Mus musculus: one gene and its partners. The protein of the gene in region 1 interacts with the protein of each later gene in a pairwise test. Links are inferred from orthologs where the notes say so. Each region holds a gene or a part of one and is shown in the gene's direction. Other genes may lie near its edges.

Region 1 (4,157 bases):
TCTGCTGTGTAAGTAAACTCCGGGACCGGTTTTTTGGGCTCTGTTGCCAAGAACACGAGGGCCATGGCTGCCCAAATGTTTTGGATTCCTTAAAGACACACACAAACACACACAAGGGCTGGAAAATGATTTCGTATTTAAGAACACTTATTGTTTTCCAGATTATTTTGAGTTTGAATTTTAGTGCCTATGTTGGATGGCAACTGTCTGTAACTGCAGTTCCATAGAATCCAGTATTCTCTTCGGGCTTTTGAGGCCAACTTGCACTTATGGGCACATATGCATACACAGACACACAGGTGTACAGAAAAATATATTTTATATAGATACCTTGCAGGACATGGTGGCTCACAGGTTAATCCCAACAGGTAGAAAACAGAGGCCGGTAGATCTTTGCACAGTCTACATAGCAAGTGCCAGACCATCCAAGATTACAAAGCACGACCCCATGTTAAAACTACCACAACAAAACACTTCTTGAGTCTGCTCTTTATTTCTGTGTTTCAGCTTCCTTTACCCTTGCAGGCAGGGTTATGGGAGGACAGTGGAAGAAGACAGTGTACTTGAGTTTGGCAGTTTATTTGTAAGGCTGTTCTTAGGCTAGAGGGGTGTGAGCAGTGCTGGGAGATTGGCCAGATCTGCTGTGAAAGTAATGGCATTCAAAGATGAGTAGGCAGAAAGAAGCAAAGAAAGAAATGAGAGCTGGGCAGTGGTGGTGCACACCTTTAATCCCAGCACTTAGGAGGCAGAGGCAGGCAGATTTCTGAGTTCGAGGTCAGCCTGGGCTACAGAGAGAGTTCCAGGACAGCCAGGGCTATACAGAGAAACCCTGTCTCAAAAAAAAAAAACAAAAAAAACAAAAAAAAAAAACAAAAAAACAAAACAAAACAAAAACAAAACAAAACAAAAACAAAAAAAAACCTCAAAAAACAAAAAACCTTAATCTTGTGAAAGATGAAAACTACACAATCTCAGTGATAAAATGATGAGTTTTTTGTTGTTGTTTATTTGTATTTTTCTTATTTCCTATATGAACACTCATTAATTTTGCTAAAAAATTAATTTTATTACTAAAAAAAATCTTCAAATTAAAACAATAATCAACTATATTGGCCACCTGTAGGGGAAGAGCTTCCATAAATGACTCCGGAAAATACCTGCTTTGTCCAACTAGCCCCTTATCTGGAAATGCCCTACTTCACACATGCATACTCTCCTTAAATTCCCATAACCCCTGTACCGCAGCGCTATGCAATAAATTTGGTCCCTTCGGGCTACCGTCGGAGAGGCCGGAAGGACGCTCCCTATTGCTTCCGGACCGTCGGTTTGCTCCCCGCCCCCTCCTGCCTCCTCACGCTGTTTCCCCTCCCCCGCCGTCTCTCCTTCAGTTTGCCTGGGTTTGGCAAGGCGGAGCCCTGGAGTAAAACCTGGGGTCGGGGTTGTGAGACGCGGCCCTTGCGGTCGGGCGCCAGAGTTGTGGGGAGGACGGACTGAGGTGCGCTGAGGCCGAGGTGGACCTGGGAGGCTTGGCTGGTGCGAGGCTGGGGCTGTGTGTGGGAACTTGGCGGGAGAGGAGCGAGCCGGGGGCGGGCGGGCCTGAGGCGGCGGCTGCGGGTGGGCGCGAGGCGGTGCGTGGGTGAGGCGGTGCGTCGATGAGGCGCGGGAAAGCAGGAGGGCGGCAGGCTGGAGGCTGCTGCGGTTCTGCGTGGCCCGGGCGGCCAAGCGCCTGTGCGCGTTATTCCGAGTGTGGCTGCTGGGTGGTCGCCATGGCTTCAAGCTTTTGCTCTGATCACGTAGGGATGTCCGACTTTTCCTCTCTTCGTCCCTTTTCTTCTTTGCTGGTCGCAGACTCCCAGGGCCTGGTGCAGCCGGGAAGCCCATCCCTTGTGCAGCTGCCCTCTTGCATGGCCCTAGGAGGTTTTAAAAGCCACCTTGCCACGGGAAAGCAAAGAGCCGCGAGGAAAAGGAGGACTAAACAACCCGGGTGGAATTAGTTCATTGCGGCTCACCTGTCTCCAGCCGCCGGTGCCTCGGTTAGACTCGGTGTAGTGACAGAGCCAATTAAGGAACAAGTAGCTCCCAGAAGTATCTTCCTTGGTCGATAAGCACTCTTCGGTTTCCTGAAACCTTGTTTTAGCTAGCTCCCTGGTGCGTGTTGGAGTTCTCCAGGGTCTCCCCGCTCTTAGTTGTTACCCAGAGCTTGGGTCTGTGTGAGAAGATGAGGCTCCCCGGGAAATCTCCAGATCGCCTTGTGGAGGAGGAGGGGAGAGAACAGAGTTTGCAGGCTTTTGATTATGAGACAGAAATGGTGTGAGCCTCGGTTAGAGTTGTTTTCGCTTCTTGTTCATCCTGCACAGGGCCAAAGCATGTCCTCCCTCCCTGGGTGCATGAGTTTGGCTGCAGCGCCAGCTGCAGCTGACTCTGCAGAGATTGCTGAGCTGCAGCAGGCGGTGGTTGAAGAGCTGGGTATCTCTATGGAGGAACTTCGTCAGTACATTGATGAGGAACTGGAAAAGATGGACTGCATACAGCAGCGCAAGAAGCAGCTCGCAGAGCTGGAGACGTGGGTACTACAGAAAGAGTCTGAAGTGGCTTATGTTGATCGGCTGTTTGATGATGCATCCAGGTAGGGATTCCAGGAAGCAGAAGTAAATGTCCATCTGTGTCCTCCTTGGAGTGACTGTTGTTGTCATTGTCCTAAGCACTTTATACTTTGGCGACTTCAGTCAGGTGGGGCCTTACTCTTCCTCTGAGTTTGTAATGCAGAGTTGCAACAGAACACTTTTTCCCTGTGGGTAGCTGCTATGTGATCAGCAGTAGTTAGGTTAAAGGCTTGAATTCCCTTCTCTTCCTCCTGGACTGAACTTCCTTCCTAAGATCCCCAGAAAGTGAAGATTGTAGAGTTGCTGTCTTTTCTGTTTTTCTGAGACAGAATCCCAATACCTAAATCTTGCTGGCCTGCAACTTGCAGAGATCTGCCGACTTTTGCCTCCTAAGAGCTGCAATGAAATGATCCTAGCTTATGCTTGTTGAGTTGATTGGGGTTTCATTCGTTCATCCATTTTTGATACAAAGTCTCTTTACGTAGAATTGGCTGCCCTAGAACTCACCATATAAACCATATTGAGCTGGACTCATAGAGACCCATCTGCCTTTGTTTCTCCAGTGGTGAGATTAAAGGGATGTTTCACAGCACCCAGCAAAATGAAGTTGATATTTAAAGCTGTCTTCTTAGTTCCCAAAGCCACATAGATAATAAATATCAGATATTAGGACTTTTGTAACAGCAGGTGGAAAATTGAAGTCTAGAAAATTGTTTCATAGAAGAATTACATGGAAACAAACATTCTGTGGAAAAGCATTCTAAATAGGTACTTTGGAACATGTAGAGCAAACAGTCTATATTTAAATATACATAATTTCCTGTTACTGTGTTGTGTTTTGTATGTGGGGGGGGTTGTTTTTTGTTTTTGTTTCTGTTTTTGTTTTGTTTTATTTTTGAGACCGTTTCTTTGTAACTCTGGCTGTCCTGGAACTACCTCTGTACACCAAATTGGCCTGGAATTCAGAGATCTGCTTGCCTCTGCCTCCTGAGTGCTGGGTTCTGTTTTTGTTCTGTCTAAAGGTTTCTTACTCTGTAGGCCATGCTGGCCATGAACTGTATTGACCATGAACTCTATTGACCATGAACTCTATTGACCAAAGTGACCTCAAACCTAGCTAGTCTTGGTTCCTCAGGCTAAGGACTAGGATTACATGTGTGAGCTCAGAGGCTAGGTATTGTATAAATGTATATACATTGTAATGCTCTTGTACTGCACTGTCTCCACTGGCTTTGATCTTTTCTGCATGTGTTCCAATATCAGGGAAGTGACTAACTGTGAGTCTTTGGTGAAGGATTTCTACTCTAAGCTGGGACTACAGTATCATGACAGTAGCTCTGAGGATGAAGCTTCCCGGCCCACAGAGATCATTGAGATTCCTGATGAAGATGATGATGTCCTCAGTATTGATTCAGGTAAATGATGAAGCTTTGGTCAGAAAAGTCTTAGAATGGAAGCTGAAATACTGGAAGACAAGTATGTTGCACATAAAGAATCACATTGTCATTACTTAATATGCCAAAAACCTGACTGACTTATTATGACAACAAGTAA
Region 2 (4,089 bases), on another chromosome or scaffold:
TTTATGTTGACCATTCAGGAGTAATCAAAGATTCTATGGCCAAACTTAGAGAACGCCTAGATATACGTAAAAGAGAAAGAGAAAGCCAACAAGGATGGTTCGAAAGCTGGTTTAATAAGTCCCCTTGGCTCACCACTCTCCTCTCCACCATAGCAGGACCTTTAATTACACTTATGCTTTTGCTTACTTTTGGCCCCTGCATCCTTAATAAGTTGGTAGCTTTTATTAGAGAAAGGATAAATGCAGTACATGTTATGGTACTAAGGCAACAATATCGGGTCCTCCAAGAGGTTGAAAACTGGCTCTAAGATTAGAGCTGTTTTCTAAAAGGAGTGGGGGATGAAGAATAAAGATAAAAAATTACTGAACTCTTCCTCACCCCAGAGCCCGACCCCTCCCATCTAGAGATTGTTCCCAGAACACTCCTGAACTCTTCACCCCAGAATGCATTCCTGAACTCCTCATCCTAGAGTTCGAACCCTCCCAACTAAAGACTGTTCCAAGAACATTTTTGAGATAAGGGCCTCCTGGAACAACCTCAGAATGAACCGGGTACATTGCCAAATAATAGGACATGACCCCTTAGTTACGTAGAATTCCCTTGGCAGAACCCCTTGTCCCTTGGCAGAACCCCTTAGTTATGCAAACTTGTACTTTCCCTGCCCCGCTCTCCCCCCTTGAGTTTTTCTTATATAAGCCTGTGAAAAATTTGGCTCGAGGTCGATTCTCCTCTACACCATACTAGGTGTATGAGCTTTGACCCCAGAGCTCTGGTCTATGTGCTTTCTTGCTGTTGCTTTATTAAATCTTGCCCTCTACATTTTGAGTTCGGTCTCAGTGTCTTCTTGGGTCCGCGGCTGAGTGAGGGTCTCCCTTCGGGGGTCTTTCATTTGCACACCACACCTCCTCCTTGGTTCCCAAGCAAGGAACCTGGCCAGGGTGCAGCGATCCTATTCCACAAAGAAGCGGGTACCAATCCTGAAGAAGGCAGTCACAGGAACAAAGGCGGAATGTCTCCTGGAAAAGGAAGTGGACAGGCATAACCTCGTCGTTCAGTGCTCCTGCTATTTGTGGAGACCGAAATTCGGAGTGGGCCGAGCCGGCCAGGCCATTCACGCCCCCTTGTGTCCGGAGCGACTTTGGAGCGGAGCAGCAGGGAAGGTGGAGGTGCCTGTGCACCGAGGCGCGCAGACGCACAGGCAACCGAGACCCGGCGGGCTGCGGGTGTTGTCAGTGCGCAGGCGCTGAAGATCCCCGGGAATCCGCGCGCCGCTGTGAAGCCGCAGTGCGCAGGCGCGGAGCCTCCCCAATGAGGGCACGCGTGACCAGGCTGTACACACAGCGGCTGGTCCTAGTCGGAGCCCCAAAGGCAAGCATTTGGTTTCCGGTTCCGGGAGTAAGCAACCGCCGCAGAGGCGACTGTTTTGGAAGAGGCACTGGTGGAGGAGGAAGAGAAGAAGAGTGGAACGGGCCGGTCGCGCTAGTGGGATCCTTCTCATGGGTCCACGGGCCTAGAGCGGAGGAAGCTGCGGGCCTGGTGTCAAGCTGGTGAGACAGCCGTGGGAGTGGCGACAGCTCGGGAGGAGGCTGTGGAGGCTCGGAACGCTAGCGGGGGCCCTCGCCTCCGGAGAAGGAATGACTTCCTCTGAATGTTTAAAGAGGGGACTGGGGTAACTGGACAGAAAGACCGAAGAGGAAGGGATGTGGCTCAGGGCATTGACAGCGGTGTCTAGATTCTGGGACTAGGATGGCGAGGAGTAGAAGAGAGAGAACGTTCAGAGAGTCATTGAGTCTTCGTGTTAAACAGGATAGAAATGGCGTCCCAAAGCTGATCATGCAAAGATAAGGCCTCGAGACGGGAGAAATAGTTAGAATAATGAGGGACTGGACACTCTTGGTGGACAAAAAGAAGTAGAATGTCCGATGGTTGGGAGGGAAGGCCTTGTCTTGGAACACAAAACTAGGAAATTGGGAGGCCAGGTCACTGTGGAGGGAAAAGGAAGTTTCACAAGATGATAAGAGGAATGGAGAATGGTAATACAGTTAGAGAAAGAGTAGCTAACACCGGCTGTAGGGGTGAGCAATAGAGACGCTTGGGACCGAGACTGGAGAAGAGTTGTGGGTCTGAATAATGAGGGGAAAATAAGCTCTGGGGCCAACTCTTGAACTTAAGAGGGAGGCTTCCAACCTGAGGAATGGGAAGAATGTGTGGTAATGTTTGATCCAGTGTATGGAGGAGTTGGGGGCTCTGATCCATAAATGCAGCTAGAACACCGGGAGACGTTGGAAACTCAGGTCAAGGAAAGTTTAAATGGGTGCTTAGAACACTGAAGCAGGGTCCCAAGGACCAGAGAATTAGGGACCTCTTACCCAGAATAGGAGGACCGAGTCTTCTCAGACTGAGGAAGGGTGATATGCATGTTTGGAGGAGAACAAAGAGGGAGAAACAGGTTGCTTTTGTGGCCTGGAAATACTTTGCCACTCTCCCCTATACTCTACTTTCTTTCAATCTTGCAGGCTTCTGTTCTGTCCCTGAAGCATCTATGGCTGAGTCCTGGCAGGACTGCCCAGCCCTGGGCCCTGGCTGGAAACGCCGAGAGTCCTTTCGAAAGTCAGGGGCCTCGTTTGGACGCTCAGACATCTATTACCAGAGGTAACGGGTGTGCTCTGGGCAATGTTCAGTGGCGTTGGACCTTGTTAGTAATTAGAGCAAAGGGGTGTGTTTAAATCTATGGATGGAGTTAAAATTGTGCACATAGTCCTTATTACAAGTTTTGTGTTTTCTTAATCATGTATTCCTAATAAAGTTGATTTAATTTGGTCAAAGTCAATATTCACGGTGCATTTGTGATTATTCACAGACAAACATGGAACAGCTAAGAATTTGAATTGTCTAGTGCGTGTATTCGGAATCAAAGTTAAACAAGAACTCTCTCTCTCTCTCTCTCTCTGGTTCTGTAAACTGGTCATTCTTTCTACTGTCTCTTTAGAGCCATATTTTTGTTGGCAAATGTGTTGTTTAAAATGACTCCCAAATAAAGTGCTGAATTATTTTCTAGTGTTCTGAGCACGAGAAGATTTTCTTTCCTCCTTGTCAGATAAGCTTTTCTTCCACACATGAATTGCAGTGCTGTCTGGTTGAGTTGCTGTGTTCAAAAATTAGAACTGGTCCATCCAGAACAAGAAGAACAAACTTGCTGAGATGTGTGTGAGGCTGCTCTGGAAAGAACAGAAATTGTTGTAGGCTATTTAGTCACACTGTGAACCCCCTGAGACTGATTAGACCTACTAGGAAAAAAGTCTTGTTTGTAGCTGTGGTGTGGCTCAAACTTAGGTCAAGAGGCAGAACAAGCAACCAGTTGACAGGAAGTGAACATAAGATAATTAAAATATCATAGAGAATAAGAGGTAGTCATGAGGGTGGATAGAGAGATGCACAGGAAGTAGAAGGGAGGGACTTTCAGTTTGAAGAAGGGATTTTGTGTGAGTGGGAAAAGCTTGCTGGGCTGTCAGCAGAGGAGGAAGGTCAACTGGGTGCTTTCTCTGCCTCTCTGAGCTATCGGGCTCCCAAGTCTTCAATGGTAAAATCGAATGATTGAGATTTTTGTTAAAAAACAAGAAATTACCATCTATAGTGCTTGATGAAGCTTCAGAGAAGTTGTTAAGGTAGCCGTGAACCAATGGCCTTACAGTAAAGCACAGTACCAGCATCGTTACAGGGAAAGCCAAAAATGTATCAGCCATCATTAGGGAAATGGAACCCTCTCAGCTGGTGCTGGCTGGCCTGTGTGTCTCAGAAGATGATGTGGTGGAGAAACACTGTACTTACGGTATATGTTCTGTACAGCAGGTGTCTTCAGGAAAACAACAAAACATTAGCAGACAAACCTAGATAAAACATCCTCTAAAGCCATTGGCTCTTAGTCATTAACAATCATGGAGTCATTTGTACGAAACCAGTGTTTTTAAGCAGAGACTCATAAAACAGAGGACAATTGATCAGTTGCTTGAAAATGTGACAGGCTTGCTGGAACCCACCTGTGTCTCCTGTAGGCACAGTGGTCCTTGTTTCAAAAATTCAGGGTTTGT
Region 3 (2,928 bases), on another chromosome or scaffold:
ACATGCTTCTACTTTGAATATCAATGATTTGAGTATTGAATTCTGAGGCAGGAGTCAGTCTTCTGAATAATTTTCATAGGTTATGTTGCTTGACATCATTTTCTTTAGGTTTGAAATTGAAACATTTAAAGTTCTATGATTTTTATTAAAAGTACAAACAACAACAGCCTATGAGGACATCCAGGTATAACTCTGGTAGAGTGTGCTGTCCTTGCACGTGTGAGCCCATGAGGGAGAAGCTCAAGCTGGAATTCCAAAGCCAGAAACCGAACATACTCTATAATCTCAACGTTTGCAAGCAACACTTTAGTGCGAAAAGTTTCAGATTCCGAGCATTTTGGATTTTCAGGCTGTATGTGCTTAATATGTACATTTGCCATTCATTGCCTATCAGTTCTTATGGTAAAAATGGATTTTGAATTCTGGCCATAATATTCTTTGTTCTAATTTAAATGTTATTTTATGCACAGGACTTTTTAATTACACAAATGACGGGGAAAGAGCTCTTTGAGATGTGGACCGTCGTAAATCCCATGGGACTACTCGTAGAGGAGCTGAAGAAGAGAAACATCTCAGCTCCTGAGTCTCGACTCACCAGGCAGTCTGGAAGCACAACTGCTCTGCCTTTATATTTTGTTGGCTTATACTGGTTAGTAAAAATTCATTGTTCACTTTTTAACTTTGATTGGAAGCCTAGAAGATAGACTTCCAGTTTTTAAGTGTTACTTCTAACAGTATTAAAATTGTATCTCTGAGCTGGGTGGGGGGCGGGGGGAGGTACATGTCTTTAATCTTAGGCTAGTGTTCAGGAGGTGGAGGCAAGCAGATCTCTGTGAGTTTGAGGCCAGACTGTCTATAGAGAGGCCTCCCAGAACTACACCGTGAGACCCTAGTGGGGCAGGGTGGATAGGGTCATTATCTGGTTTTTGTTATTGGTGATGGTGGTGGGTTTTTTGGTTTTCTCTTTCTGCTGTTAATAGAAGACAAGTTATCTGTGTTTTGCTAGTAGTAACTTTTGAAAATTTTATGTGTGTGAGTGTTGGCCTGCATGTATGTCTGCATCACATACATGTGGAGGCCAGAAGAAGGTGTCGGTTCTGGAACTAGAGTTACAGATGTTTATTAGCTGTTAGGTTCATCCGGGAAATCCGACCTGGGTTCCTTACAAGCACAGCCAGTGCTCTGAGCAGTGAGCCTTCTCTCCAGCTCCTGCTAAGTCACTTTTGGACAGCTGTTTGCTATAGAGTTTTATGGGATATAAGCTCACCTTATATTTTCTATATATATAAAAAAAATACATCTGTTCTTGGCAGCAGCTTCAACCGAGCCTCAGAGTGGAAGACAGGAGCTTTGCTGTCTACCAAAGTGTCAGCACATTTAGAGCCTTGTAGTTTTGTTAGAGATAAACCTGTCTGAAATGGATTTCAGGTTTTAAGATTAAAGTGGGGTAGAGGTGTAGCTCAGTGGTGGAATGCTTTCCTGAGACAGAGAGACAGAGAGGGAGGGAGAGACAGAGAGACAGAGAGGGAGGGAGAGACAGAGAGACAGGGAGAGAGAGAGAGAAAGAGAGAGAGAGAGAGAAAGAAATCAATTAAAGCAGTAGATGTGGACATTGAGTATCTTGGATAAGTAGATTAAATTTTGTGCAAATATTTTTCCAATCTTTGTGTGAAGATTTTCTAATCTGAGGGACTTGCCATGTAGACCTAACTGTTTCAAACTCAGAGATCTGCCTGTATCTGCCTCCCAAATGCTGGCATCAAAGGAGTGTGCCACACTACCCAGCTCTAATCCTTGTGAACTTCTGATCCTTGTGCCACCTTATGCTTTGCCTTGGAGAAACTGGGCCTCGTAGGTTGTTGTATTTGGATGGGATGGGATGGAAGGCATAACTGTCTCATGTGCTGTCTTCCCGGCGTTCAGATCCCTGTCTGTTTTCTTCCTAGTGACAGAAAGCTGATTGCAGAGGGACCTGGGGAAACTGTACTCGTTGCAGAGGAAGAAGCTGCGCGCGTGGCCCTCAGGAAGCTGTACGGATTCACAGAGAACAGGCGGCCCTGGGACTACTCCAAGCCCAAAGAGAGCCCAAAGAGAGCAGAGCAAACCAGCGTTGCCAGCTAGGCAGCAAGGGGTGACATCATCACTACTGAGCAAAGCAGTGAGACAGGGCCAGAGGGGAAGAGCGCAGAATATGGGAGCAGTGTCTCAGTGCTCTTCCTGGGCCCTAGAACTAGACAAGTGCTTTTCAGGTGACATCAGGTGACAGGGATTTGTTTCACTTTTTTTTTCTGTTTCTCTTACACACTGGTTTATTACTGTGTATAATTTGTACAGCTAGATGTATTTTATTCCCTCCAGCTTTGAAGTGTAGTCAAATACATGCCATATGTGAAGTTCGTTGTAATATGAATAAAAAGCTATTCTTTGAGATGTCTTTCCTTTCTTTATTGGTGCAAGAGAGGCTGGAGAGGTGGCTGTGGCTGGGAGTGCTACAGGTCTGAGGGCAAAGGTACAGGGCAAGGGTAGGCCAGGTCTACCTGAAGGGACAGGACAGCTAAGCAAGTGCAGGTGGCAGTTCAGGCTACATCATTATCAGATATTCAGCTGAGCCCCAGCGACAGTTGGGAGTCCTCTGCCTATATTTGGTAATTAGATGCTAGGTATGGGGACCACTGTAGCAAAAAGTGTCTGCCTCTTCCTACTGTCCAGGTGAGGTCTTTTGGGCTTGAAGTTGATTTGGGCCACTTTGAGCCCCAGAAGAGTAATAGGCCGAGATCAGGGTTTTTGTTCACCCACTCCAATTCTCGCCTAGGCACCGTGGGCTGGCTGCCTCTATAAAAGGCTGTAAATCCTGCTGGCTGGCCATTTTTCTCTGGTGTGTGGACCAGTAGTCCAGGGTGATGTCTGCACTGGCTGTCCCCAGGTTCT
Region 4 (4,244 bases), on another chromosome or scaffold:
AATTTGAGACCAGCCTCAACTCTAGTGTCTCAAATATGATTTTAGAATTTAGGGTTCAGGAATATAGCTCAGTGACTGAACCCATGCTTACTGCATATAAAAACACTAACTCCAAGCCGGGTGTGGTGGCACACGCCTTTAATCCCAGCACTCAGGAGGCAGAGGCAGGCAGATTTCCAAGTTCGAGGCCAGCCTAGTCTACAGAGTGAGTTCCAGGACAGCCAGGGCTACACAGAGAAACCCTGTCTCGAAAATCCAAAAAACCAACCAAACAAACAAACAAAAAAACACTAACTCCAATCCCCAGCACCCCCACCCCAAATCAATTTAAAATAGCTCTAGATTTTAGGCAATTTTTCACAAATGGGAACATGGTCCTTCATCCCATATCCCTAAGAGGTGGGAGACAATAAAGGAGTTGGAGCAGACGAAATCGTCACACAGATCTACCTCTGTCTAACTAGATTTCTGTAGGCAGACCATTTAGGAAACGCTGATCAGATCAAGAATATGTTCTAAGCTGGACTGGGGAAAAAATAGGAACATGACCCCAACGAGGAGTTGCAGGTTTGCAAAAGGACACGTCATCTTCCAGCAATGTGGTGGTGACTGACCCTGGACATGCTTACCCTGTCATCTGTTTATGCAATCACATATATATGTAGCAATCTTAGTGTAAAGACTCTTGTAAAATCAAGAACCCCTATTTTCAATCACTTCTTGCTGCTTTTAATATTCCTGGGGAGGTTTACAGGTTGGGAAGAGGGAGGGCATTAAATTGCTGCCCCCCCATACCCATACAGTGGCTTATTATATTTCCTTCTGTCCATCTTTTAATCCTAGTTTCCTCCTCAGATAGAAATTATTTATTCCCTGTTTTATAAGACCACAATTACCTATACTAGTTATCTTTATCATCACTTCAAAGGGCGAGTGACTGAGACACCAAAACAAAAACATCGCATACCAACTGGAAGGAAGCACTTAGTAAAATTGTGTTGAATGAATGAGTAAAAGAAAGACACAAATACGAATGTTTCCCCATGGCGGTGGAGTGGAAATGTTACAGCACCATTTCTGGCACCAGGATCTCCCACTAACACCTCGACCTCCCGCCCACTCAGAGACCCATAGTGAGACTGAAGATGCGCTCTGGCTCGGCCTTGAGCCCAGAGTTGAGAGCTGGTTGGCCCGGTTGCCATGACACCGCCTTGTGCTCCACCCTCTCTCGCCCCCACACACCCCCTCGGCAGTCAGGGTATGGCAGCCAGTCACGTGCCACACAGCGTAACCACACCTCTGCTTCCCAGCGCAAAGTCAAGGGGTCACGTGGGATAGCAACAGGTCACGTGGCCGTCAGGGCCCCGCCCCCTTCCCCACCACACCCCTCCCATCAAAGCAGCCCGGGTTGCCCACTGCGCAAGGGTGAAGATCACGTGTCCAGAACGTCCGGCGCCCGCCCCGCCCCCCGGGTTTCCGCGCGCCTCTCTGGCAGCTGGTCACATGGTGAGGGTGGGGGTGAGGGGGCCTCTCTAGCTCGCGGCCTGTGTCTATGGTCTGGCCCGAAGCGTCCAGCTGCCCGGGACCGATCCCCGGTGTATGGCGCCGCAGGAACCGGCTCCCGGGCCCAGATAAAGGGCCACCTCCAGAGCTCTTAGCCGAGCGTAAGGTGAGTGCAGTCTCATCCAGGATCGGGGGACCAGTCCCCGCCACCACCAGCACCCTCCAGCTCCCCACGCGTGCGCGTCGCTGGCTGATTATGGAAGGTGGCCCAATGGCGGGAAGTGGGGCCTTTGTGGTCGCGGGCAAGGGTGTGATTTTGGAGAGTGAAGTGCAGAATCTTCGGTGCAAACCCTGTGCACTGTGTGATCCTCTTTGTGCCTAGTGCGATGTCCTCCGAAAGGAAAGAAAGCATTCTTTTTCTTCCTCCGGGACAAAACGTGGCCGGAGGAGGAGGGTTTGATGGGAGTCTTTGTGTTACCTAAGGCGCGGGCCCTGGAAGTGTGGAGGGGTGGGATGTTGCTGATCGCGTTGGCGAGGTCTTGTGCAGGAGTTCCTTTGTTACCGCCGGGTCATCCCCCTCCTAACCGTGAGAGTGAGTTTGGTATTAGAAGCCTCTGTGATTGTAGATCCCCTGCTTCGAGAATGGCTGCCACTCGATATGAACCCGTGGCTGAAATTGGTGTCGGTGCCTATGGGACGGTGTACAAAGCCCGAGATCCCCACAGTGGCCACTTTGTGGCCCTCAAGAGTGTGAGAGTTCCTAATGGAGGAGCAGCTGGAGGGGGCCTTCCCGTCAGCACAGTTCGTGAGGTGGCCTTGTTAAGGAGGCTGGAGGCCTTTGAACATCCCAATGTTGTACGGTGAGAAGGTTGGATTGGGAGTGGGGCGGAGAGGACAATAGGACCCGTAAGGCAGGAGTGGGACCCTAGAACGCCAGAGGCCACGTTGAGACAAAGGGGACGACTAGCTGGTGATCATTTGTTCTTCTCAGGCTGATGGATGTCTGTGCTACTTCCCGAACTGATCGGGACATCAAGGTCACCCTAGTGTTTGAGCATATAGACCAGGACCTGAGGACATACCTGGACAAAGCACCTCCACCGGGCCTGCCGGTTGAGACCATTAAGGTGAGTAGGGGTGGGGCTGGGGGCGAGGGTGGACCGATCTTTGCAATAGAAGTTGTTGGGATTTTGAAGTGATACATAGTTTCCGGTGTTCTGTGCTTTCTTCTTGAAAAACAGGATCTAATGCGTCAGTTTCTAAGCGGCCTGGATTTTCTTCATGCAAACTGCATTGTTCACCGGGACCTGAAGCCAGAGAACATTCTAGTGACAAGTAATGGGACCGTCAAGCTGGCTGACTTTGGCCTAGCTAGAATCTACAGCTACCAGATGGCCCTCACGCCTGTGGTCAGTAAAAGGCGTTAGCCGACTAGGTTGTGATAGGGGTAGCTCTTGGTGGTTTCCCATAGCAACTGAGGAGTCTTGTACATGAAGTTTTCAGAGCCAGGCAGGTCTGGTTCGTGAGGTCGACACTCACTCATTTCTACTATTCTCTTCAGGTGGTTACGCTCTGGTACCGAGCTCCTGAAGTTCTTCTGCAGTCTACATACGCAACACCCGTGGACATGTGGAGCGTTGGCTGTATCTTTGCAGAGATGTTCCGTCGGAAGTATGGGACTAGAAACTTTTTGTTGTTAATGGTACAGGGTTAGTCCTGGCCGTAGATCAGGTTGGCCTTGAACTCACAGAGCCCTGGGATTAAAGGCATGCGTTACCACCGCCCGTATGGGACTTGAAGCTCTTAACCTACCTTCAGTTGCACATAGCTTTGGCTGCTTGTCTTACTGTGCTAGAGGTTGAAATCAGAACTCACACACACTCAGTAAATGCTTCCGTGCCACTGAACTTCACACTCCGTCGGCCCCCAAGTCTTTTACAGACATGCCTGTTCTTGACCATTCGCTTTTGTGCATGTATGGTACGGGACATCCAGCCTACCCAGTTCATACTGACCACCTTGCCTAGAACCAAGAAACCATATAGGCATGCCCTGGATTTAGGATCTTCCCGTTCCTCGTCTCCACACTCTCTAGTTGGGTCTACATAACGGTTACTCCTCAATTTTTTTTTTCTTTTAAAAATGTATTTATTTCCATGTATGTGAGTACACTCACTGTCTTCAGACACACCAGAAAAGGACTTCAGATTACATTACAGATGGTTGTGAACCACCGTGTGGTTGCTGGGAATTGAACTCAGGACCTCCGGAAGAGCAGTCTTATCTGCTGAGCCGTCTCTCCAGCCCCCACTCCCCTATTTTTGATATAACACATACTTTGAGTCTTTTTCTGCCTTAGGCCTCTCTTCTGTGGAAACTCTGAAGCCGACCAGTTGGGGAAAATCTTTGAGTAAGTATTTGATAAGGAAAAGGAAAGACATTTCCTGCTGCCGCGGAGACAGGAGCTGGGAAAGGCCCCTCCTAACAGAGTTGTCCTGTCCCCACAGTCTCATTGGATTGCCTCCAGAAGACGACTGGCCTCGAGAGGTATCTCTACCTCGAGGAGCCTTTGCCCCCAGAGGGCCTCGGCCAGTGCAGTCAGTGGTGCCAGAGATGGAGGAGTCTGGAGCGCAGCTGCTACTGGTACTGGACCTGGGCGGGGATTGGGTTAAGATAAGAAATACCGTGGCCTGGGGAACTGGCTCAGTGGGTAGAGTTCCTTTGCATAAGTGTGAGGACCT
Region 5 (3,500 bases), on another chromosome or scaffold:
CAGTGCCTGTCTGGCTGCTTCTGGCATAAACTGTGCCTGTTTTGTCGATGCTCAGGTGAGACGGCGGAATGGGTCTATATTCATGCTGGCCAGGGTGCCTTGCCTGATGTTGGCCCAAGAGATTATGTTCAGTCAGGGCCAGGACTCTGACGAGTGCCAGCCCAGCCTGGACGCTTCTAATTATACATGTGCGTTTTTATAGAGCAGGCCATGTCACATGCTGTGACTATTGTGGGGATGGCTGGGTCCAGGGACCAATCACATTCATTCCAAGTTTCTGCCCTTTGGCTGTGGCATTCTCTGTCTGGAGACAAATCTGGAGCTTCCAGCTCACCTCTGTTGATAGACTGGGAGGGACTGGGGACGAAGAGAAAGGCTAGAACACTAAGGCGTGGAGCAGGAGTGTGCTCAAGAAAAGGTCTGAGGAACCAGGCAGGGTGGCAGACCTGCACACTCAGCTCCACGAACACTGAGACAGGAGATTGCTTTGAGTACCAGGCCAGCCTGGGTTACACGGTAATAACCAATCAAAAGCAAAAGATGGAAGAGATGGGGAGACAGAACAGTGAGGCCTTGGCTCTGCAGGCGTGAGTCCCTAGCACCCCTGTAAAATGCTGGGTATAGCCACGTGTCCATAACCGCAGTACTAGGGAGGCAGAGGCAGGCGGGTCCCTGGAGCTCCCTGTCGCCCATCTGAATGGCTGTGGTCTAGATTCAGTGAGAGTCCTATCTCAAACAAAGAAGGTAAAGAACTATTAAGGAAAATGCCCAGCCTTGCTGGGCAGGGGAGAGAAGCCTGGGTCTTGATTCTAGGGAGACACTGTGCTATTGAAGGTTGGCCGGCCTGAGTGACCCCGGAGGGCAGCTATCCCTGCCAACCTGCTCCTGCCTCGCACATCTCATTGCCAAGAGCCATTCTCTCTCACGTGGGATTTCTTGGTGGGAAAATGCCAGTGTAACCTCATGGTGCTTATTCTCTGGGTTTTCACTTAGGCTCTCCCTCCACCCGTCCATGGGGGCTGAAGAGCGTGCGTGCGTGTGCGTGTTTATGGGTGCCTGCAGAGGCCAAAAGAGGATATTAGATCCCTTGGAGCTAAGCTATCTGATGTGGGTACTGGGAATTGAATTCTGGTAATCTATAGGAACGAGTCATACTTTTAACTGCTGAACCATCTCCCCAGCCCTGTATGTTTTGGGACAGGATCTCATAGCTTTGAACTTTGTAATCCTTCTACCTTCAAAGTACTGGTATTATGGTGTTGGACACTGTGTCTGGTTCATTTATTGCTGGGGGTGGAGCCCAAGGCTTCATGCACACTGGGTAAGCTCTCTTCTACCAACTGAGCTACCTGGTCTGCTCCTGAAATGTATGAGTGTTTGCTATTTTTATATGTATGTCTATCAAATGTGTGCAGTGTCCATAGAAGCCAGAAGAGGTCACCAGGGCCCCTGGAGCTGAAATTAACATATGGTTGTAAGTGACCATGTGGCCCTGGCAACTGGGTCCTTTGCAAGAGTGGCACGTGCTCTTTCCTGCCGTCCACCCCGAGTTCTCTCTCTGAAAGCCCATTTTAAACATGAGCTGTGTTTAGCTTCTAAGTCTGCCCTAACAGAAGTCAGCAAGGACTTTAAGCCCAGAGCTTTGTGCACTGACCGTTCTGGAAGGAAGAGACCCTTGGTGTTGGCAGGGCCGCTTCCTTCCAGGAACTGTAGGGGAAAGTTCTAGCCTGGTGGCTCTCAACCTTCCTAACTGAGACCTTTAATACAGTTCCTCGTGTGGTGACCCCAGCCAGAAGATTATTTTTGTTTCTTACACTCTTGCCTCTCACCCCCTTGCTCCCCATTCCCTTCCCCCACTCTCCACATGGTCATGGTCGGCCCCCATGTCTCTATTCTCTCCTTTCTGCTTTTCTCTGCCTCTGCTACTCTCTCAACTCCCCTCCTCATGGCCTAAATAAACTCTATTCTATATATTTTTGTTGCTACTTAATAACTATGATGTTGCTGCTGTTATGAATCATAATGCAAATATCTAATATGTGACCCCTGTGAAAGAAAGGGTCGTTCAGCCCCCGGGGGTCGTGACCTGCAAGTTGAGAGCTGCTGTTCCAGCCTCTCTGGTGTGTAGAGGCCTCTCTCAGATGCTGGATGGAGCCTGCTGGCAAGCTCTGGGTAGCAGTGGGCAAGTGGGTGGGATGTCTTAACAGGACTGGCGGTGTGGTCTGGTCTCCGGCTCTGGGCTTACCTGCATGCTCAGCTCCCCCACGGTCTTCGTGAGGCCCTTGCCTGGGGCAGCTCACCTCATCCTCTGGACTTTTCCCAGTTTCCTGACATTGTGGATTTCTGTGAAATGATGGCCAACGAGGGCAAGACAGTAATTGTGGCAGCGCTGGATGGGACCTTCCAGAGGAAGGTAAAGATGTCTGACTCTGGCTTGGCAGAGGATCCTGAGGCAGGAAACAATATACAAGGTCTCCCCAGAAGTAGGTGTGTTCAGAATAGAAGCTATTGGCTAGTGGGTGCTCTGAACTGGCCAAAGGGTAGAGAGCAGGAGGGTGTGGCTCTCAAGAAAGCAGGATCAGTAAAGTATGATGTAGCCTGAATCATGGGGTTTAAAAGAGAAGCGTTGGCGGTGGGAAGAGCTCAAGCTGAAGCATGCTTGCCTTGCAAAGCACACAGGCTCGAGTTAGATCCTCAGGACTCTTTAAAATGCTATCACCAGGAGACAGAGACAGGCAGATCTTAGCGGCTTACTGGCAAGCTGATCTAGTCTACACTGCAAGCCCCAAGCCAGTGAGAGACCGTTTCCAAAAGCACCAAGGTAGACAGTGCAGAGGCACAGCTCCTGACGTTGCTCTCTGGCCCCCACACACATACACATGTGAACACAGGCAGAGGAGGGAGGTGCCTGGCTAACTGACCGCACACACCTGCTGTCTTCCGTGCAGGCTTTCGGCAGCATCTTGAACCTGGTGCCCCTGGCGGAGAGTGTGGTGAAGCTCACCGCTGTGTGCATGGAGTGCTTCCGAGAAGCTGCCTACACGAAGAGGCTGGGCCTGGAGAAAGAGGTACACACACACACACACACACACACACACACACACACACACACACACACACACACACACAACACACACACACACACACACACACACACACACACACACTTACTTCTGCCCAAGGAGTGGGGTGGGCTTAGGCTCTGGCTTCTGAGTCCCACCCTCACATCTCCCTCCCACCAGGTGGAGGTGATTGGGCCTGGAGAAAGAGGTATACACACACACACACACACACACACACACACTTCTGCCCAAGGAGTGGGGTGGGCTTAGGCTCCGGCTTCTGAGTCCCGCCCTCACATCTCCCTCCCACCAGGTGGAGGTGATTGGCGGAGCCGACAAGTATCACTCCGTGTGCCGCCTGTGCTACTTTAAGAAGTCTTCAGCCCAGACTGCTGGCTCAGACAACAAGAACTGTCTGGTGCTGGGGCAGCCGGGAGA
Region 6 (4,088 bases), on another chromosome or scaffold:
CGACCTTGTCTACAACTCAGCCCCAATGAGAGACCAAGGTCCCTCAGGATCTGGTGCTCACTGTGATCTTAACTCTTAAACAGTACGGCTACGAACAGGAGGAATTAACAGGGTGAGCTCCAGGGAATGTTGGACAATTGTGGGCAAGGGGCATGGGACCTTAGTTCCTGTTTTGGGGCACCCAACAACCTCAAAAGGTAAGAGGAGAACGAAGGAAGGAGAGAGTGGTGAGTAGATGGACGGAGATACTGACAGATGAACACTGGAGTCCCTGGCAGCAATTGGACCCATAGTCCAAATTCCCAGGAAGCCCTTGTTGGCTGCAACTGGCCCCGAAAGGCCTCCAGCACGTGCCAAAAAAAAAGGAGCAGGCGCCAGAATGGCCACCAGGGGGCCAGCCGACGGTTCTAAGTACCCGTCCCGTCGGTGAGTCGGTGAGGAAGCATCCGAGCTGGGTTGCAGAGGACTGGCCGAGGAAACTGGACTAGGCCACGGCGTGACAAAAGCGTGTCCAGCGGGGCCAGCAGAAGCCGCACAGGGGTTTCAGGTGGAACTAAGGTGTGGGGTGCGGCACAGGGAAGAGGCCTGGGGCGCGCGCGCGGGGGGGGGGGTCCGCGGGTGCTGCCCCTCCCCCACGGCGCAGGCCCATTCCCCTCCCCCACTAGGGGGCTAACTCGTAGGTTAGGGAGCATCCACATTTCTCTCCCCGTCGGTTTTGCTTGCGTTTGGCCCTTTGTATGAGGCTAGTTCATTGGATAGTTTCGAGGTTCACCCCGCCCAAGTTCCTGAGCTGGCCAATTGCAGAAAGTGTCACAGCGCGCTAAGTTCCGGGGATCGTCACCGTACTGCGACGATTCCCAGGATGTTTAGGCCTCAGTGATCTTTGCTCCCGGGACTCGGGCCTTGAGCCCAAGGATACCTCCAGAGCCTGTGCCCGGGAAGGTGCCCTCTGAGCATCCGGATGACCCTTGGGAATCTATGCTTCTTTTTCCTCACACGACTCTCTGATGTGTCCTCGAGTGGACGCGCTCATCCCGAAGAGGAGTTTGCAGACGCTCCCTCGAGCCTAGGACGCGGCCCCTTTAAGAGTGCGGCCGTTCAGGGCACCGCCTGCTTGGACAGGCGCCCTGGGCTCGGGCTCCTTAGGCGGTCGCGGGCAACGAGGGCGCGGCAGCCGCGTGCGGGCTGCGGGAAGCTCGTGTTTAAGTAGACGCGTAGGCCACCGGACGGGAGGGACGGTAAGCTGAGCAGGCGTGTGGCGGGCAGCCCAGCTCAGGCCCCGCCCCGCCCGCTGGGGTCCTGCGCTCCGTGCTGCGCGCGGCGGGCGCGGAGGGAAGTCCCGAGACAAAGGAGCGCCGCCGCCTCTGCCGCCGCGACGGTCCGGGCCGCGGTCGCCCAGGTGAGCCGCCACCGGCCTGCGCACGCACTCCCATCTTCGCCCGGACTCGCCGCCGTTCCCAGTGAGCTTCCGGGAGGCGCCGAGCGGAGCCACGGCGGCCTCCTCTCGCTCGCGGCCTCCGAGTCTCGGCCTTCGGGGCACTAGGGCCCAGCCGCTGTGCCACGGGAGAATACAGGGTTGGGAGCACGGCCCACTGCCCCCCTACTCTTGGCGAACTGAGTTCCGCCGACCCCGCAACAGATAATCTGAGCTTCCCAGTAGCTCCCAGACGCGTTCTGGGCGGTGCTGGGCTCCGTAGTTAGGCGAGTGAGAGTGCGGAAGGCCGTGAGTACTGGGCCGTGTCGGGGCCTGTAAGCACCCGGAGTCACATCAGAAGGCTTCGTTCGTTACCGAGACGCTAGGCTTGTAGCTTGGGTTTTTGTGGGGGAGTCTTGTGTATATTCTCTGCCCCACCTTCCTTTATTCTTAAGGAACTGTTGTTTTAGTGGATGAGTTAGTTACCTGCCTGCATAGCAGAAAACGGGCGTCGAAGGGGAGTTTGTTTTCTTTCTAAAGGTATTCAGGCTGTGAGTGATCGCAGTCCTGCCCTCCTCTGGCTGTCTCTGCCACTGGAAACTTAACAAACAGCGTGGTATACTTACTGAAGGATCCTTAGGGCCTACAGTGTGCATTCGAGTAAAAGAGGCCGCTTCGCCCTATCCAAGCCAGCCGTAGTGCCTGGTACCCATGTTCCCTCTGCCGAGGTGGGCGGAGATAAGCAACCTTGCACAGGCTCTCTGACCGGTAAGTAGCTCTGAAGTAGGTGGTGTCGCCAGACAAATACTGTACACTGTAGGAAGCCTGGAGTCATAAGACCCATCCCTGTATGTCCTTCCTGTCTCTAGTAGTGGGGAGGGGAATGGTTTTTTGGTTTGGTTTGGTTTAGTTTGGTCATTGCATCACAAAACTTTTAGCTCGTGAAGTGACTGTTTGCCTGGGAAGGCAAGTTGTGTTTAAGTGGCTTTTGGAGTGCTTGCGGGAGCAGCAGCACTGCCCCCCAAGTTTCTGCCTAGATCATTGCCAGGGTGCTCCTAGGGTTCCTTTTCCTCGACCGTGGGGCAAAAGGCCTTTAAGAGTTCTGATAAGAGCCACCTCTCACTTCTCCCTGTTTTTGAGACAGGATCTCTTGTAGCCAAGGCTAACCTTGAACTCTTGGTGATTCCCTGGTTCTGTCTCCTTAACACTGAGTGTCCAGGCAAGAGCAGTTGAGCTAGCTTCTCGGTTCTTCTCACTTAGGATAGCTGCAGTTGGATGCTAGGACAGAGTTCTCTGGGCACACAACTTTATCCTGAAGTCAGTTACAGCTGTCCCAACAGCTTTGTGTGGCCCGGTGTCCAGGCTTCTTTCTCCAGAGCACTGGCCCCGGGCTCCAGAGAGAAACCTGTTAGGAAACCCTGCCCAGACTTGCTTGCCATCTTCTGCCATCTGATTGGCTGGATGAGGATAGCTGCTTCAGTGGAAGATGCTAGAGAAAGAGATTGGGCAGGCCTGTGCGTTGAGAAGTTGAAAAGAGGGACACATTGGAAGTGAAGCCCTATGCTCCAGTCACTCTTAGATGAGCGCCACCTGGGTCGTAAATTGCCTAAGAGATGACTATTAGGGCAGGTTGGGGTTTTGTGGCAGAACCTTGGTGCTTGTTCCTAGACAGGCTCTACTCCTGTGCTAGGAAAAGACAGTTGGGTTTGGGCTGGACTCTCTGTTTTGGACTTGAGGTCTGTAAGAGAGGAGCCTTGCCTTTAATTTGTATACTTTGTGATTTGGTATTGGAGTTTGTGGAGCATAAGTACTGTCTGTTGTGATTTATAAAAAAAGGAATCGGGATGTTTGATAGAGCCAGGTATGCTTAGAAGGAATGCCAACATTGTCAAGGCTTGTCCTGGTGGCTTGTGCTTTTTTTTTTTTAATATATTTTATGTGCACTATTACCTGTATGTTTGTGTGTTCGAGGGCATCCAGGTCCCCTGGAACTGGAGTTTCAGGCAATCATAAGCTGGCATGTGGGTGCTGGGAGTTGAACCCATTGGAAGAGCATCTAGTACTCTTAATTTCGCCAGTCCCAGCTTGTGCTTCTAAAAGAGGTTCTTCATGTTGGCTTAGAGTGTACAGGATATTAAAAATGCTGATATGAAGTGTTTGTCTTACAATGACCTCACCCACTGAAGTATTTCCTGAACTCTGGGCTCTGGGGTGATGCTGTACCTCTGATGGCAGTCCCAGCCCCTCTCTACTTGGATTTGTACAGTCATCACAAGCAGTCTAGGTGCTGTGGTGCGTGACTGTCAAGGCCAGCTGTGGCCACATGGTGAGACTGTCTCCAAAAATAAAGGAAAGAAAGAAAGAAAAAGTGGTCTAGGAGCCAGATGTAGTGGCTCATGCCTGTAATCCCAATACCAGGAGCTAGCCAGGAGTTTTGGGCTAACCTGGGCTACAGTGTGAGACTCTGAACTTAAAACAAGTCATCTGTAACTTCAGTGCAGGACTCACCAGAATGCTTTGACCCAGTGGGTCTGTCTGTTCAGGTTCAGAACAACTGTGCTTACAGATGGAGGTGCATATCTGATCAGCCCACCTGTAGCCCAGGGATCCTAGCTGGGTCAGGAACACGCAGTAAATCCTAGGGTAGTCACAGCTTTGCAGATAAAATGGGCAG
Region 7 (4,074 bases), on another chromosome or scaffold:
CACCCCCCACCGCCCTCCGGCGTCGGCGACTCCGCCGGCCTTCGGTAATTTCCGTGGGAGACGGAGCCGAGAGCTCGGCGCGGACCGAAGACAGGCCACCTCCCCTGGTCAGACCCGGCTTTATGTCTGCAGCGCCGGCGCGCACGCGCAGACGCCATCTTCCCTCCTCTCCTCCACGACCCCTCCCCCCTGCCACCTCCTCCTCCTCCTTCTCCTCGGTCAGAGCTCGACCCTCCTCCTCTCGCGCTGGGGCGCTGGTCCCTCCTCTCTTGATGCCGCGAGAGACCAGGGGATACGGAGCAGCCCGAGAAGAGCACTAGTAACAACCATCACAGCCCCCTCCTCGCCCGACGCCCTCCCACTCCCCCGCCCCGCGCCGCCACCGACCAACCCCACCTCTCATTTCTTTGAACGGCGTCGGCTGCAGCCGCTGCACCAGCCCCGTCTGGCCGCCACCGCCGCGAAAAGGAGCCACCGCCGCCCGCGGCCCCCTCCCTCCCTCTCTCCCTCCCTCCCGGTCGCGGGAGCAGCTCGGTGCCGAACCAGCCGGCGGGCCGAGAAGAGGACGCGAGCTCGCCCCTCCGCTCCCGCGCACGTCCCGCCGCCCGCCGGAGCAGCCCGGGCGCCGGCGCCCTTCCTCTCCGAGGACGTGTGGCGAGCCGAGCGCCTGCCCCGAGGGAGGAAAATGCTCGGGCTCCATGGCTGCCAGTGATGGAGCGGTCCCTGGGCTCCCGCTGCTGCTGCCGCCACCGCCGCCGCCGCCGCGCCCCGGCCGCGCTCCGCGAGGATCCGGCGTCTCTGCGCGCCCGCCCGCGCCTCGTTGCTGGGCTCACCGTACCGGGCGCCCCGCCACCGCCCCGCTCGCAGCCGCGCCGCCCGGGCCCCAGCCGCGGCCAGCCTTTCCTCCCGGAGCAGCCGTCGCGAGCCCAGGGGGTTTGAGAGGGGCCGCGGGCCGTGGGGGGAGGCCCGAGCGGGGCCGGCCGCGCCGGCAGGGGAGGTTGGAGCGACGCTGAGCTCAGGGCTCGCCGGCGGCCGCGGCGCCGGGGGTGGCGAGGGCCGGGGCGACCGCTCGCTCCGCGCTGCCTCGGTGCAGGACGAGCGGAGGGGCTTTTGCAGCGGCCGTCGCCGCGGGAGGAGGGGGTTGAGCTGGCTCCGGAGTTGGCCAAAGAAGGTGGGCATTTCTCGCTTCTCCTCGCCTCCCCCGCCCCCTCCTGGGCTCCCCTCCCTCCCGCCCCGCACCCCACGTGAAGCGGAATATAAAGGGGGGTGTGTGACTGGAGGGGGAAGTGAATGGCGAAGGACTGAAGGGGTCCCCCTTCGGTTCCCCAGCCACCTGGTTCACCCGGTTCATCCTCCCTTCCCGAAGTTAGCCCTCGAAGGCACGAGCAGCCGGCGCCTTCGGCAGAGGAGGAGGAGGAGGAGGGATCGCGTCGGGCGGAGCTTCAGGTCCTGTTCGTCTCTCCGGCTTCTCCATACAAAGATTACGGTGCAGAAGGAAATTGCACTTGCCTCCTCCGCCCCCCGGTACCCAGCACAATGCACCAGCCGCCGGAGTCCACCGCCGCGGCGGCCGCTGCTGCAGACATTAGTGCTAGGAAGATGGCGCACCCGGCAATGTTCCCTCGAAGGGGCAGCGGTGGTGGCAGCGCCTCTGCTCTCAATGCAGCAGGTACGGGCGTCAGTGGTGCTGCTCCATCTTCTGAAGATTTTCCTCCTCCTTCGCTGCTCCAGCCGCCGCCTCCTGCTGCATCTTCCACGCAGGGACCCCAGCCTCCGCCTCCACAAAGCCTGAACCTCCTCTCGCAGGCTCAGCTGCAGGGACAGCCTCTTGCGCCAGGCGGAACTCAGATGAAAAAGAAAAGTGGCTTCCAGATAACTAGCGTTACTCCGGCTCAGATCTCTGCCAGCATCAGCTCCAACAACAGCATCGCGGAGGACACCGAGAGCTACGACGATCTGGATGAGTCGCACACGGAAGATCTCTCCTCTTCCGAGATCCTCGACGTCTCCCTTTCCAGGGCCACTGACTTAGGTGAGCCTGAACGAAGCTCCTCAGAGGAGACTCTGAATAACTTCCAGGAAGCTGAGACACCTGGGGCAGTCTCTCCTAACCAGCCCCACCTTCCTCAGCCTCATTTGCCTCACCTTCCACAACAGAACGTTGTGATCAATGGGAATGCCCATCCCCACCACCTCCATCATCACCATCACCCTCATCATGGGCACCACCTTCACCATGGGCACCATCATTCATCACATGCTGCTGTGGCCGGTCCATCCATTCCCGGAGGGCCACCCTCGAGCCCAGTGTCCAGGAAACTCTCTACAACTGGAAGTTCTGATGGTGGTGTGCCAGTCGCACCTCCTCCTGCAGTACCATCGAGTGGCTTACCAGCATCAGTGATGACGAACATCCGTACTCCAAGTACTACAGGAAGCCTAGGTATAAATTCGGTTACTGGCACGAGCGCTACGAATAATGTTAACATTGCTGCTGTGGGTAGTTTCAGTCCCAGTGTGACGAACAGCGTGCATGGTAATGCTAATATAAATACAAGCAATATCCCTAATGCTGCTAGCATAAGTGGTGGGCCTGGAGTTACCAGTGTTGTTAATTCGAGTATCTTGAGTGGCATGGGCAATGGTACCGTTTCTTCCTCTCCTGTTGCTAACAGTGTCCTTAATGCAGCTGCAGGTATCACTGTGGGAGTGGTTTCCAGTCAGCAGCAGCAGCAGCAGCAGCAGCAACCAACAGTTAACACATCGAGGTTCAGGGTTGTGAAGTTAGACTCTACTTCTGAACCCTTTAAAAAAGGTCGATGGACTTGCACAGAATTCTATGAGAAGGAAAACGCTGTGCCAGCTACAGAAGGCGTGGCCGTCAATAAAGTGGTGGAGACGGTGAAGCAAACCCCCACGGAAGCATCGTCCTCGGAGAGGGAGAGCACTAGTGGGAGTTCTGTGAGCAGTAGTGTGAGCACACTGAGTCACTACACGGAGAGTGTGGGAAGTGGAGAGATGATGGGAGCCCCGGCTGTGGTGGCGCCGCAGCAGCCGCCGCTACCACCAGCGCCTCCAGGTCTTCAAGGTGTGGCTCTCCAACAGCTAGAGTTCAGTAGCCCTGCTCCACAGAGTATTGCGGCGGTTAGTATGCCACAGAGTATTTCTCAGTCACAGATGTCACAAGTACAGTTACAGCCTCAAGAGTTGAGCTTTCAGCAGAAGCAGACTCTTCAGCCTGTCCCTCTGCAAGCCACCATGAGTGCCGCAACTGGTATCCAGCCTTCCCCTGTCAGCGTGGTCGGCATCACGGCGGCTGTAGGTCAGCAGCCTTCTGTTTCCAGCCTGGCTCAACCGCAGCTGCCATATTCTCAGACAGCTCCTCCCGTGCAAACTCCTCTTCCAGGGGCACCACCCCAGCAGTTACAATATGGGCAGCAGCAACCAATGGTTCCTGCGCAGATAGCCCCAGGCCATGGCCAGCCAGTGACTCAAAATCCAACTTCAGAGTATGTGCAGCAGCAGCAGCAGCCAATATTTCAAGCAGCATTGTCCTCTGGGCAGTCCAGTTCCACGGGCACGGGGGCAGGAATATCAGTGATTCCTGTGGCTCAGGCACAGGGGATCCAGCTGCCAGGGCAGCCCACAGCAGTACAAACACAACCTGCAGGGGCGGCTGGGCAGCCCATTGGCCAGGCTCAAACAGCAGTGTCCACTGTACCAACTGGCGGTCAGATTGCAAGTATCGGTCAACAGGCAAACATACCCACTGCAGTACAGCAGCCCTCTACCCAAGTTACACCTTCAGTTATTCAGCAAGGTGCTCCTCCATCTTCACAAGTAGTCCTACCTGCTCCAACCGGGATCATTCATCAGGGAGTTCAAACCCGTGCTTCAAGCCTTCCACAACAATTGGTCATTGCACCCCAGAGTACCTTGGTAACTGTGCCTCCCCAGCCACAGGGAGTAGAAACCGTGGCCCAAGGGGTTGTTTCCCAGCAGTTGCCCACAGGCAGTCCTCTGCCCTCTGCTAGCACTATTTCTGTTACAAATCAGGTTAGTTCAGCCGCTCCT

What was found.
Region 2: the proteins of Setdb1 (region 1) and Mbd1 interact in binary tests that used the Homo sapiens proteins (3 or more experiments, as listed by UniProt). The link is inferred for Mus musculus from reciprocal best matches to the Homo sapiens genes SETDB1 and MBD1.
Region 3: the proteins of Setdb1 (region 1) and Mrpl44 interact in a two-hybrid assay, tested with the Homo sapiens proteins (2 studies listed by BioGRID and IntAct). The link is inferred for Mus musculus from reciprocal best matches to the Homo sapiens genes SETDB1 and MRPL44.
Region 4: the proteins of Setdb1 (region 1) and Cdk4 interact in a two-hybrid assay, tested with the Homo sapiens proteins (2 studies listed by BioGRID and IntAct). The link is inferred for Mus musculus from reciprocal best matches to the Homo sapiens genes SETDB1 and CDK4.
Region 5: the proteins of Setdb1 (region 1) and Tk1 interact in a two-hybrid assay, tested with the Homo sapiens proteins (2 studies listed by BioGRID and IntAct). The link is inferred for Mus musculus from reciprocal best matches to the Homo sapiens genes SETDB1 and TK1.
Region 6: the proteins of Setdb1 (region 1) and Ube2i interact in a two-hybrid assay, tested with the Homo sapiens proteins (2 studies listed by BioGRID and IntAct). The link is inferred for Mus musculus from reciprocal best matches to the Homo sapiens genes SETDB1 and UBE2I.
Region 7: the proteins of Setdb1 (region 1) and Tsc22d1 interact in a two-hybrid assay, tested with the Homo sapiens proteins (2 studies listed by BioGRID and IntAct). The link is inferred for Mus musculus from reciprocal best matches to the Homo sapiens genes SETDB1 and TSC22D1.

What each region holds. Positions count from the first base shown.
Region 1 is NC_000069.6:95,354,403-95,358,559, reverse strand, and holds the start of Setdb1 (histone-lysine N-methyltransferase SETDB1), read left to right. Parts: upstream 1-1,357; 5' UTR 1,358-1,495; exon of another isoform or gene 1,496-1,533; intron 1,534-2,357; 5' UTR 2,358-2,366; coding exon 2,367-2,626; intron 2,627-3,866; coding exon 3,867-4,018; intron 4,019-4,157. UniProt on the Homo sapiens protein: Histone methyltransferase that specifically trimethylates 'Lys-9' of histone H3. H3 'Lys-9' trimethylation represents a specific tag for epigenetic transcriptional repression by recruiting HP1 (CBX1, CBX3 and/or CBX5) proteins to methylated histones.
Region 2 is NC_000084.6:74,266,886-74,270,974, forward strand, and holds the start of Mbd1 (methyl-CpG-binding domain protein 1), read left to right. Parts: upstream 1-1,289; 5' UTR 1,290-1,548; intron 1,549-2,517; 5' UTR 2,518-2,543; coding exon 2,544-2,653; intron 2,654-4,089. UniProt on the Homo sapiens protein: Transcriptional repressor that binds CpG islands in promoters where the DNA is methylated at position 5 of cytosine within CpG dinucleotides. Binding is abolished by the presence of 7-mG that is produced by DNA damage by methylmethanesulfonate (MMS).
Region 3 is NC_000067.6:79,779,018-79,781,945, forward strand, and holds the end of Mrpl44 (39S ribosomal protein L44, mitochondrial precursor), read left to right. Parts: intron 1-470; coding exon 471-649; intron 650-1,946; coding exon 1,947-2,121; 3' UTR 2,122-2,428; downstream 2,429-2,928. UniProt on the Homo sapiens protein: Component of the 39S subunit of mitochondrial ribosome. May have a function in the assembly/stability of nascent mitochondrial polypeptides exiting the ribosome.
Region 4 is NC_000076.6:127,062,091-127,066,334, forward strand, and holds the start of Cdk4 (cyclin-dependent kinase 4), read left to right. Parts: upstream 1-1,444; 5' UTR 1,445-1,669; intron 1,670-2,129; 5' UTR 2,130-2,145; coding exon 2,146-2,363; intron 2,364-2,494; coding exon 2,495-2,630; intron 2,631-2,744; coding exon 2,745-2,912; intron 2,913-3,064; coding exon 3,065-3,174; intron 3,175-3,862; coding exon 3,863-3,913; intron 3,914-4,010; coding exon 4,011-4,146; intron 4,147-4,244.
Region 5 is NC_000077.6:117,816,015-117,819,514, reverse strand, and holds part of Tk1 (thymidine kinase, cytosolic), read left to right. Parts: intron 1-2,323; coding exon 2,324-2,413; intron 2,414-2,948; coding exon 2,949-3,068; intron 3,069-3,242; coding exon of another isoform or gene 3,243-3,332; exon of another isoform or gene 3,333-3,369; intron 3,370-3,375; coding exon 3,376-3,500. UniProt on the Homo sapiens protein: Cell-cycle-regulated enzyme of importance in nucleotide metabolism. Catalyzes the first enzymatic step in the salvage pathway converting thymidine into thymidine monophosphate.
Region 6 is NC_000083.6:25,270,632-25,274,719, reverse strand, and holds the start of Ube2i (SUMO-conjugating enzyme UBC9), read left to right. Parts: upstream 1-1,288; 5' UTR 1,289-1,399; intron 1,400-1,954; exon of another isoform or gene 1,955-2,182; intron 2,183-4,088. UniProt on the Homo sapiens protein: Accepts the ubiquitin-like proteins SUMO1, SUMO2, SUMO3, SUMO4 and SUMO1P1/SUMO5 from the UBLE1A-UBLE1B E1 complex and catalyzes their covalent attachment to other proteins with the help of an E3 ligase such as RANBP2, CBX4 and ZNF451.
Region 7 is NC_000080.6:76,414,547-76,418,620, forward strand, and holds the start of Tsc22d1 (TSC22 domain family protein 1), read left to right. Parts: upstream 1-1,274; 5' UTR 1,275-1,536; coding exon 1,537-4,074. UniProt on the Homo sapiens protein: Transcriptional repressor. Acts on the C-type natriuretic peptide (CNP) promoter. Acts to promote CASP3-mediated apoptosis.